Linked DNA regions of Caenorhabditis elegans. The protein of the gene in region 2 interacts with the protein of the main gene of each other region in a pairwise test. Each region holds a gene or a part of one and is shown on either strand. Other genes may lie near its edges.

Region 1 (5,611 bases), on a different chromosome or scaffold from region 2:
GACACCTCCCCAAATACTCTCGAGAAAAAAGTTCCAGTACCGTATACTTTTGACAACATCTGTCAAAAAATGCACTTTAGAGACGGGCATTGGAAGTATCATTTCTTTTTATAATTGTTGGTTTATTACCACAGAGAGACAATTTTAGGATATGGCTCAAGATATTTGAAGACTCGAGTAGTCCCACAGTATTGTGATTGCTGAAACTTCTGTTGTGAATATGAGTAACTTTATTCTAATAAAATATACCCCTTTCCTGTGCACACTCTTTCTCTCACTCTTACCATATTCTGAAGAATTAAAATTTCAGAGATCCCTACAAAACTCTAATAACATGCTTCAAAAATGAATGTACTCCCTACAGTCGGGTGGCGACATTTTCCCCCAAGAGAGCTGACCTCTTCTATTCATTCAATCCCCTTATTCATTCAATCCTTCCCCCATTTTCCTCTCATTTCACCCAAAAAAGACTGGTGAATGAATGGTGGGAGAAGAGATGGAGGACCCCGGGATAATAGAGGATTGTGTGCTGCAGGAGGTAGAGAGAGATGGTTGTGGGCGTGACCTCTCCCGATCATCGTCTCTGCGTCTCTTGGATGTAGACGGTCCCCGGGAGAAAGAATGTCTGCGTCTATGTACACCAATATACTGTTTATGTCCCTTGAATGGGCTTTTATACGCGTCCCTCCACTACCACCACCCTCGAAGAACCATTCCTAGCCACCCGCATAGCCGCTAAGAAGGGGGGAGTGCACTCTTTTCGTCTTTTTTTGTGTCTAAATCTGTTCCGTTTACTAGCTTTTCAAGTTCATGATCTTACTGTAATAAAACATAGCACATATTTTGAATGAAATACATAATGTATCCCATCTTCTGATTTTGAAAATTAAAATTTCTCTCCTCCCAATTTTCAATTTTGGATCTTTTACCAAATAATTTTGATCTGCATTACTTTTTCTCACTCCTACAATGTTTACGAATCCTTACCAATTTTGAATTTAAACAAGAACGCAAATGTATTGTAGGGCAGTTTTTTTTTCAATTATTGAGTTTATCAAAAAATGTATATTTGCATCCGAAATGTTACTAGCTCACGTTTAAAGCTTTCATATATATCTTATCCTACGTCTGAATTTAAACTAATTATTTAGATGGGCCTGAAACCCTTTGATCCATCACCCCTTTACTGTTATTTTATTGCTCTTTCGGGATGTCATCCATCCGATAATCATCTACAATGACATCTACATTTACAACTATTTCTTGATACCATCTCAACATCATTACCTCCCTACAAATTGTTCTCCTTCAAGTAACTTGCTCCTAATAATTTATACCGGAACTTAGTAGATCTATTGTGACGTCACAATTATTATTCTTTATTGATCTACCTTGCCTCTTTTGATCTCGTTTGCCTATTTAACCAAACGAGGAGAATCGATTATTTTCTTCTTTTTCTTATTCTCAATATTTCTTCAAATGGGGTTGTCTTGACGAAAATCTAATCAGAATATATTTACTAACCTAATTTTTTCACCTGCTGCTCCAGCCCAATTCCCTACTTATTCCCTTTCCTCTCCCCGCTTCTCCGCTGACTTTATTTCTTTGACATTACTACTATAATCGTCTTTCATATCATTTCGCAGAAATAAAGTTTTCAGAACCTCAATGGCGGATCCAAATAGCCAACTTACGTCAGCCACAACTGTTGCAACTGCCGCCATTGCTCAACCACAGGTTATGCTTCCAAATGCATATGATTATCCTTATAATATTGATCCGACAACGATTCAGATGCCTGATTATTGGAGTGGTTAGTCTTTTTTTCATTTGAAATCTATTATAATTTCAATTATATCATTTGGTAAACCAAACCAAACATGTTTTCGTGAATTTGTTAAAAGTCGCTTGTAATCAGTTAGAAATATTGGATAAATTGCAGAAAAAGGATATAAGTTTGGTATTACTTATCTCGAATTGTTGAATTGTTGATTTTATAAGCTCGCAAATTTTTAAAATTTACTTTAAGTTGAAACAAAATGTATAACTCTTTTAATGTTCTAAAATTTTGTAAAAATCTGGTTTGCTCTAGTAAGTAGTTTATTAACCAAAATGTTTATATCTCATTTCTCAAGTGCAAGTCATCTAAATAAACATTTTCAGGATACCATCTCAACCCGTATCCTCCGATGCAAACAACGGATATTGATTATTCATCAGCCTTCCTTCCAACACATCCACCAACTGAAACCCCTGCTTCCGTAGCTGCTCCAACTTCTGCAACATCTGATATTAAGCCAATTCATGCAACATCATCCACTTCAACGACGGCTCCATCTACTGCTCCAGCTCCAACTTCAACTACTGATGTGCTTGAGTTAAAGCCAACAACAGCTCCAGCCACGAATTCTGCAGAAACATCAGCGATTGTTGCTCCACAGCCTCTTACTAATCTTACCGCACCAATTGACGCAATGTCATCAATGTATACATGGCCACAAACATATCCAGGTTACCTTCCACCTTCAGAAGATAACAAAGCAAGTGAAGCTGTTAATCCATACATCTCAATCCCTCCAACATATACATTTGGTGCTGATCCATCAGTTGCCGACTTCTCATCGTATCAGCAGCAACTTGCTGGACAGCCGGTACGTTTCTATTCTTCTTGGTTTTATTCGTGTTTTACTGTTTTACCACAAGTTAATCTCGACGAATGATTGCTTGGCCCTCCTCAGCCGCCAAGCATTCACGTATGCATAATCCGCTTCCTTTTGATGTGAGCCGCCGCCTTCTGAAGATTGAGATGCATGCAAAAGGCGGCATCTTCTTGAGAAGAACACCCTGTGCGCACTAAACGACCTCCAAAAAAGTCACTAATGTAAACATAAAACAAGGAGAAACATACAGAAAAGATGGATTAGTTACATAATTAGGCAAAGTTTATCGCTTTTTTTGTTGGAGGAAATTTTTGAGATTCTTTCAGTTTTCTTTAAAATAATTTTTGCCATATGACAATACTAAACATTAAGATTCTGAACTACTGTTGTCGTGAACAAAGTTTTGAGACCCTGATGACATTTTTTTGCGTTCCAGTCTTGAGAAATCTAGAATAATATGGTAAAATCCCTGTATCCAACCTCTGACTAGTGAATAACTAAATTGGCCAAAATTTGAAGCTCTTGCTTTTTGCATTGTTACCCAATAGCCGGTCACATTTTCTGATGGTGTCCTCGAAAACCGAAGGGGGCTATTGACCGACGTCGCCGCATGATTAAGTGGTGAACAGAGACGGTCACATTGCGGGGTTCAGTACATTAAAGAGATCGATTGATTTGACTCGGCCCCCAATAGTACCATTTGAGAGAATTAACTGACTAGCAAGGCAAATGAAATTAATTCTTTGTTTTGTTTCATTGAGAGAAAAAGTTGAGTAGTTTTAGATGAGGGTTATAGAAATTATAAAACCAAAAACAATGAAATATTGCAGAATGGTCTTGGTGGAGATACCAACTTGGTTGACTACAATCATCAATTCCCACCAGCCGGTATGAGCCCACACTTTGATCCAAATGGATATCCAGGAATGACCGGAATGCCACCAGGATCAAGTGCATCATCTGTTCGAAATGATAAGTCTGCATCAAGAGCAACGAGCCGTCGTCGGGTACAAGGCCCTCCATCTTCTGGAATTCCAACTCGCCATTCATCGTCTTCAAGGCTTTCTGATAATGAATCAATGAGTGATGACAAAGATACGGATAGGAGATCACAGAATAATGCTCGAGAAAGGTGAGGAGTTTTTTACTTTTAAGACGTTTTGAATTGAACATTGGAAATTGACAATTACATAGTAATTTAATCGAGATATCTCCAAATCTAATCTAATACAAAAAACTTACAGAGTACGAGTTCGTGACATCAATTCGGCATTCAAAGAGCTCGGACGAATGTGCACACAGCACAATCAGAATACAGAACGGAATCAAACAAAATTGGGAATTCTACACAATGCAGTATCTGTGATTACACAATTGGAAGAACAGGTTAGATAATTTTTCATATTTTAAAGAAACATTCAAATTGTGAACAAAATTAATTGGCAATTGTTCGACTGCTGTATTTTTGACTTTGAAGCACATAACATTGCGATGGAATTTATTCGAAAAATTTAAACAAAACACTGAACAAGTTGAAATTTATAATTTTACAGGTTCGTCAACGAAATATGAATCCAAAAGTGATGGCTGGAATGAAAAGGAAACCTGATGATGATAAAATGAAGATGCTTGATGACAATGCACCATCCGCGCAGTTTGGACATCCACGGTTTTAAATTTAAAAATTGACTTTTTAAGCATTTCAAACTATCATTCCCAATCTTCTCCCAATCATCCATACGGCTAAAACTCTCTAGCATATTGTTTTTTTGTTCAAACTATTCAAATGTTCCCCTTCATCTCCCTCCGGATTGGAGGTCCTGTGATTTCTCAACTTCAATCAGTTTTCAGTTTTAAAAATTTTAAACTTTATTACAAGATCATCACAATTTTCTGTATGTTTTTAATTTATTTTCTCCTCTAAATTTAAATCAATCAATAGCTAATTCTAATATTTCAAGTATTAAAATTAACTTTCATATTATTCATTCATTCAATCAACTTCTTCCAACTTGTCTTATTTTTTGTGTGTGTGTATGTGATAAACCATAGCTAATTAGTATCTACTTGAAATGAAATGGTCCACTCAAAAAAAAAGACACCGCCAACTAATTTCACACATGAATTACTCTATTGGGTAACTGTTTCAACACTTTAATTATCCAAGCTCCGATGAAGTGCTAATGTCCTTCGCAGTATGGATTCCACTTTATGTTGAAAGGGATTCCCATTTATAATTAGACATTTAGTTTGACTTTCTAAGTCGTTGAAACGAGATGTTTTTTTCATGGTCTGTCAAAACTGATGTATAGGAATATTGGATGTATAAAATGTCAACAACGGGAAAAAATGTGATACAAACATAATTCATTCACCTTGATCAAAACAAACAAAATTTTAAAATTCAGAACCCTTTTTGCATCACTCAAATTAACTGGAAAATGGCTTTTCGGACAAGTTCAATTGCATTTGGATGTTTAAGAATTGCCATGTGATCAGCTTGAAATACTTCGTGTACAGTAACCTTATAACCATTATTATTTCCAATCCAATTAGTGCACACTGTAGCTGATTTTTTGTTCACTGTCCCGTCTCCATCACCCATGAATTCAGTTGGTGGATAATCTGGAAAGTATCCGGGAGCCCATGAAAACTTTTCCGGTGTGGGGACTCCTGTTCCATAAATACAATGAACTGGAACTCCTGGAGAACTTAAATTTCCATTCAGACGGGCGGCCTGTTTGTATTGTTCCCATCCAACCATGTAATTAATGTCTTGAAAGAATTCTTTAATATTTCCAACAGTGTAGTTTTTGTCAGCAGTTGTCGCTAATATTTCATGTGGTTTCCATGCAACTGGACTTGGAAACAGAAAGGCCGAAGAGGAGAATGATCTGAAGAACCAAATAAGTTGAAGAAAAACATAATTTGGTAGTCTTAGCACCATAAGA
Region 2 (3,763 bases):
TGGAGATTGCATTGCGGGAGTTGGCATGCTTGAAGCAATGGATTGTAGAAAGTTCCACTGAAGTTGTAAGCTTAAATAGTGAATACGTTTTCTAAAAATACAATTATTATTTCCAGCCACCGTGCGACAAGGGGCCTACTCTCATGATCGATCCACCAACTGCGCCTGGCTCTGCCGAAGGATGCCCACCTCCATTAGTGAAGGCCAAATCCACAACAAATGCAATCGAGCGATCGGTTTACTTCCCGTTAAGCACAACTGCTGCTGTTGCGATTCTTGTAAGCACTCCAAAGAAGCGAAGCATTTTTAGACAACAGGACAGGAATTCGGCTATCAATTTTGCGGTAGGTTAAGTTTTTCAAAAATTGTGAATAAAAATATTAATTTACAGGAGCAGCCCGACCACGAAAAGATCACATCGGATATTCCTGAAGAGGATGACCTGAAGAAATGCGAGCCTATGTCTGGAATTGCTGCATACATTAAGAAAAAGTTCAATTAGGCAGAGATATGTGTGAATAAATCGTTTTTACATGTTTCTGTGTTTTCTAGAACTTGACAGTTATTATCCACTATTTATTAATTTATTTCGTATTCCAAATAACAATCCGCTCACATAGCATTATTACTCGAATTAAAATTAAACGTAGAAATATCGATTAAAATATTTCCTTCGGACTCCTCTTGGAATCCATTGAAGCACTTGCAGTTATACTGATGAAGCTCGCTCCTCAATAAGTTATCCAAATGTTTGATATAACGGATTGCAAGCCGGAGAGTGTCAACTTTTGAGATTCGCTTTTCACTGGAAAATATTATTGTCAACTGTATCTATAGGAAGATAATTATTGATTAAATGTTTTGATAGGTACGTGTCACTAGCCAAATTTTGGTAGCAAAATCTTGGAAATACTTGGCATTATAATAGTAGCCTTTTGCATGAGTTGCTGCCAGATAGCTGTCACGGGGATTCCCGAGTTTCCTTCGGGATTTAATAGCATTTCAAGGTAAATTTGAGGTAAACTTTACTCTAAATGAATTTTCTCATCTACAACTTCCCTACAATTTCCAGAAGCATTTTTTTAATTTTTTAGAAAATCATTGAAACTTACTCAAAATGAACTGGAAGATGTTTTCTCAGTCTCTCATAACCATCATTCACATTTCTCACTCGACATCGCTCACGTTCGTTTCGTTTCCAAACTGATGAGCTGAAAATTAAAATTTTCAAACTTTAATAAAAGCATGATCTTACCTATATGGTCCGTATTGATCTTCAAGTTCAACAGGCAGGGGTACTGTAGCTTCAGGTGCAAATGGGTTCACATATTTCTTAAAGGCGTTTGAGCTAGTGTCCAATGACGCTTTAGAAGAAGGTTTTGGCTGACTTTGAGTGGGAAGTTGAGGTTGAACTTGGCTTTGAATTTGAATTTGTGGTTGATTGTGAATAGGTATTTGAGATATTTGTGGTTGAAGTTGAGATTGAATTTGAGTCGGGATTGGTGCAAGTTGGAGTGGGGTGGAAGTTGGAATGTGGAATTGCTGATCGATTAGTGGTACTGTAATATATTCAAAAAATGATATAAGTACATACATAATACATTTATTGGAGTTAGTTTCCATTTGGATAATTTTTAGATTTTTAGAGATATAAGCTGTCACCTTTGAATAATCGGGTGCAATATAAAACATTCACTCACCCATTAGTTTTTGTACATCGGTTTGAACATTTTCCAGTAGAAGATTTGTATTTGGAATTGAAGTTTGAATATGATTTTGAATATGATGTTGAATCGGATTTGGAATCGGGGTTTGAATAGTATTCTGGTTGATAATAGTCGAGTAGACCCCATTCTCAAATGTATAAGTTACAGGGAACATGGTCAAAAAGTTGTTTTGGGAAATTGACATTTTTTGAACTATTCTAAGCAGGTTATCTATAACTGACTATCCACAGGGACAACCTAAACAGTAAAATGTGGGCGGGGCCTACAGTAAATATAAGCTGTGCAAACAATCGGGGAGCCAACCCGAAAAAGGCGATCCATGCATGATATTTATTTGTTAGCCACCGAAATGTGGTTTTGCACAATGAGCACATCATTTGTCGGCTTCCGACATTATTTATTGAGGGCAATTGGGAAACATCGATATTGGAAAAAAAAACCCGCAAAAACAGAATTTCCGAAATGAATTTTGTATTATATTTACAGTGTCATTTTCTAGGTATATTTCTTGAGTAAATACTGAAGCAGATGTTTGGTATGCGAGCTATATGATAATCAATCATTTTTTGTTTTGATTGAATATGGTAATTTCCCATAATTAACACCTGCACATCATCAGAATATACGAAAAGATTGCAATTTTTCATCATTGTAGGTGATTTCAGTGGGAAAAACTAGTTTTCATATAAAATTTCGAAAGGTCCTGGCACGACTAACCCTTTATTACCTCTCCTACCCGAAAATACGGTACCTGGTCTCGGAACGGCACATTTTTGTTAGATGCGAGTAGATGTGCGCCTTTAAAGAGTAATACAGTTTTCCTCGTGATTTGACAAAATGTATATATTTTTTGTTGTTACATTTGAATTGTAAAAATATAAATAAATATTTTTTTTTAATTGTAAAAAAACTTAAAAATCGATGAAAGCTTGAAAGCTGCGCTGAAACGAAAGTTTTAAATTACAGTACTCTTTAAAGGAGCACACCTCTCGCATTCAACAAAAAAATGTGTGTCGAGACCGTGTACCGTATTTTTGGCATAAAACTTCGCGCCTGGCCAATATGTATATTATTTCTCAATGCGAATTGTCTTAACTTTAAAAAAATACTTTTCAGAATTTTTTAAGTGTCTGCTTTCTTCAAATTTGTCGATGCTGAGAATCAAAATTTTAAAATTACTGAATACTTTATAAATAGGAACTTTCGATGAAAATAAAAATAAGATCAGTCAGTTACAGGAACCCATTGATCCTGTTCCTTTTCTGAAAACTTATAAAATACTGACACACAACGCTATAATTTATATGGCACATTAAAAACACGATACTAAAAACTTAAAGTAGATCACAGGGCAAAACGAAAAAAAAAAAAATTTTATTTTTGTGCCTGACGAATTCGATCCCTGAGCCGTGTAAGTTGTTCCAATGAGAAGTCTTTGAACAAATCTTCCAACTGTTCAACTCGAACCCTTTCCTTTTCTTCCATCATTTTCATTGTCGCGTCGTGAAGCTTTCGTTGCCGATTTCGTTCGGCAATCAGCTCTTTTTGCATTTCTTCGTTTCGTTTTTTTACATTTTCGTACGATTGGAGAGAAGCGGCCTGTAAAGTTCATATTTTGTAGTTGAAAGTTTATCTAATCTCTCCACTTACACATAACTTGCTGATTTTGCTAAATTTCAAAAATTCATCAGGCAAATTGGAATCCGCATCATCAGCGAGATATTCGTCCTCTCTCAACTCCAAAACACTCTTCACGGCCATTTGTTGGGATTTCAGAATTGCGACGCTCGAACTACAAATTTGGAAAATAAAAATATAAATTTAAAAGAAAGAACTTACTCAAGCCGGCTCAATTGGCTCTTCAACTGCTCCACGGCATTGTCAAGGTGATCGCGTCGAGCATGAAGGGACTGAATATCATACTCCAAAAGTCCACTGGCATTTTTCACTGAAAACGAATGGTTAATATATATATATATATATAATATTAATTCTTTCGCCAGTTAAACTTACACCACTCGCCCTCTTTCTGTTGA

Evidence for each region.
Region 1: the proteins of hlh-6 (region 2) and hlh-2 interact in a two-hybrid assay, tested with the Caenorhabditis elegans proteins (2 studies listed by BioGRID).

What each region holds. Positions count from the first base shown.
Region 1 is NC_003279.8:7,189,965-7,195,575, reverse strand, and holds hlh-2 (Helix-loop-helix protein hlh-2), read left to right. Parts: upstream 1-1,655; 5' UTR 1,656-1,668; coding exon 1,669-1,813; intron 1,814-2,163; coding exon 2,164-2,651; intron 2,652-3,490; coding exon 3,491-3,792; intron 3,793-3,904; coding exon 3,905-4,046; intron 4,047-4,213; coding exon 4,214-4,336; 3' UTR 4,337-4,788; downstream 4,789-5,611. Other genes in the region: plag-15 (PhosphoLipase A2 Group), read right to left, coding at 5,086-5,554. UniProt on the Caenorhabditis elegans protein: Transcription factor which binds the E box motif 5'-CA[TC][AG]TG-3'. Plays a key role in the anchor cell/ventral uterine precursor cell (AC/VU) decision; required for VU fate.
Region 2 is NC_003280.10:9,612,902-9,616,664, forward strand, and holds hlh-6 (Helix-loop-helix protein 6), read right to left. Parts: upstream 1,928-3,763; 5' UTR 1,912-1,927; coding exon 1,701-1,911; intron 1,560-1,700; coding exon 1,256-1,559; intron 1,212-1,255; coding exon 1,113-1,211; intron 806-1,112; coding exon 613-805; 3' UTR 562-612; downstream 1-561. Other genes in the region: T15H9.4 (uncharacterized protein), read left to right, coding at 1-65, 117-344, 392-502; hal-3 (uncharacterized protein), read right to left, coding at 3,102-3,326, 3,378-3,519, 3,567-3,675, 3,741-3,763. UniProt on the Caenorhabditis elegans protein: Transcription factor that regulates the development of the g2 pharyngeal gland cells and pharyngeal gland function and thereby is required for feeding.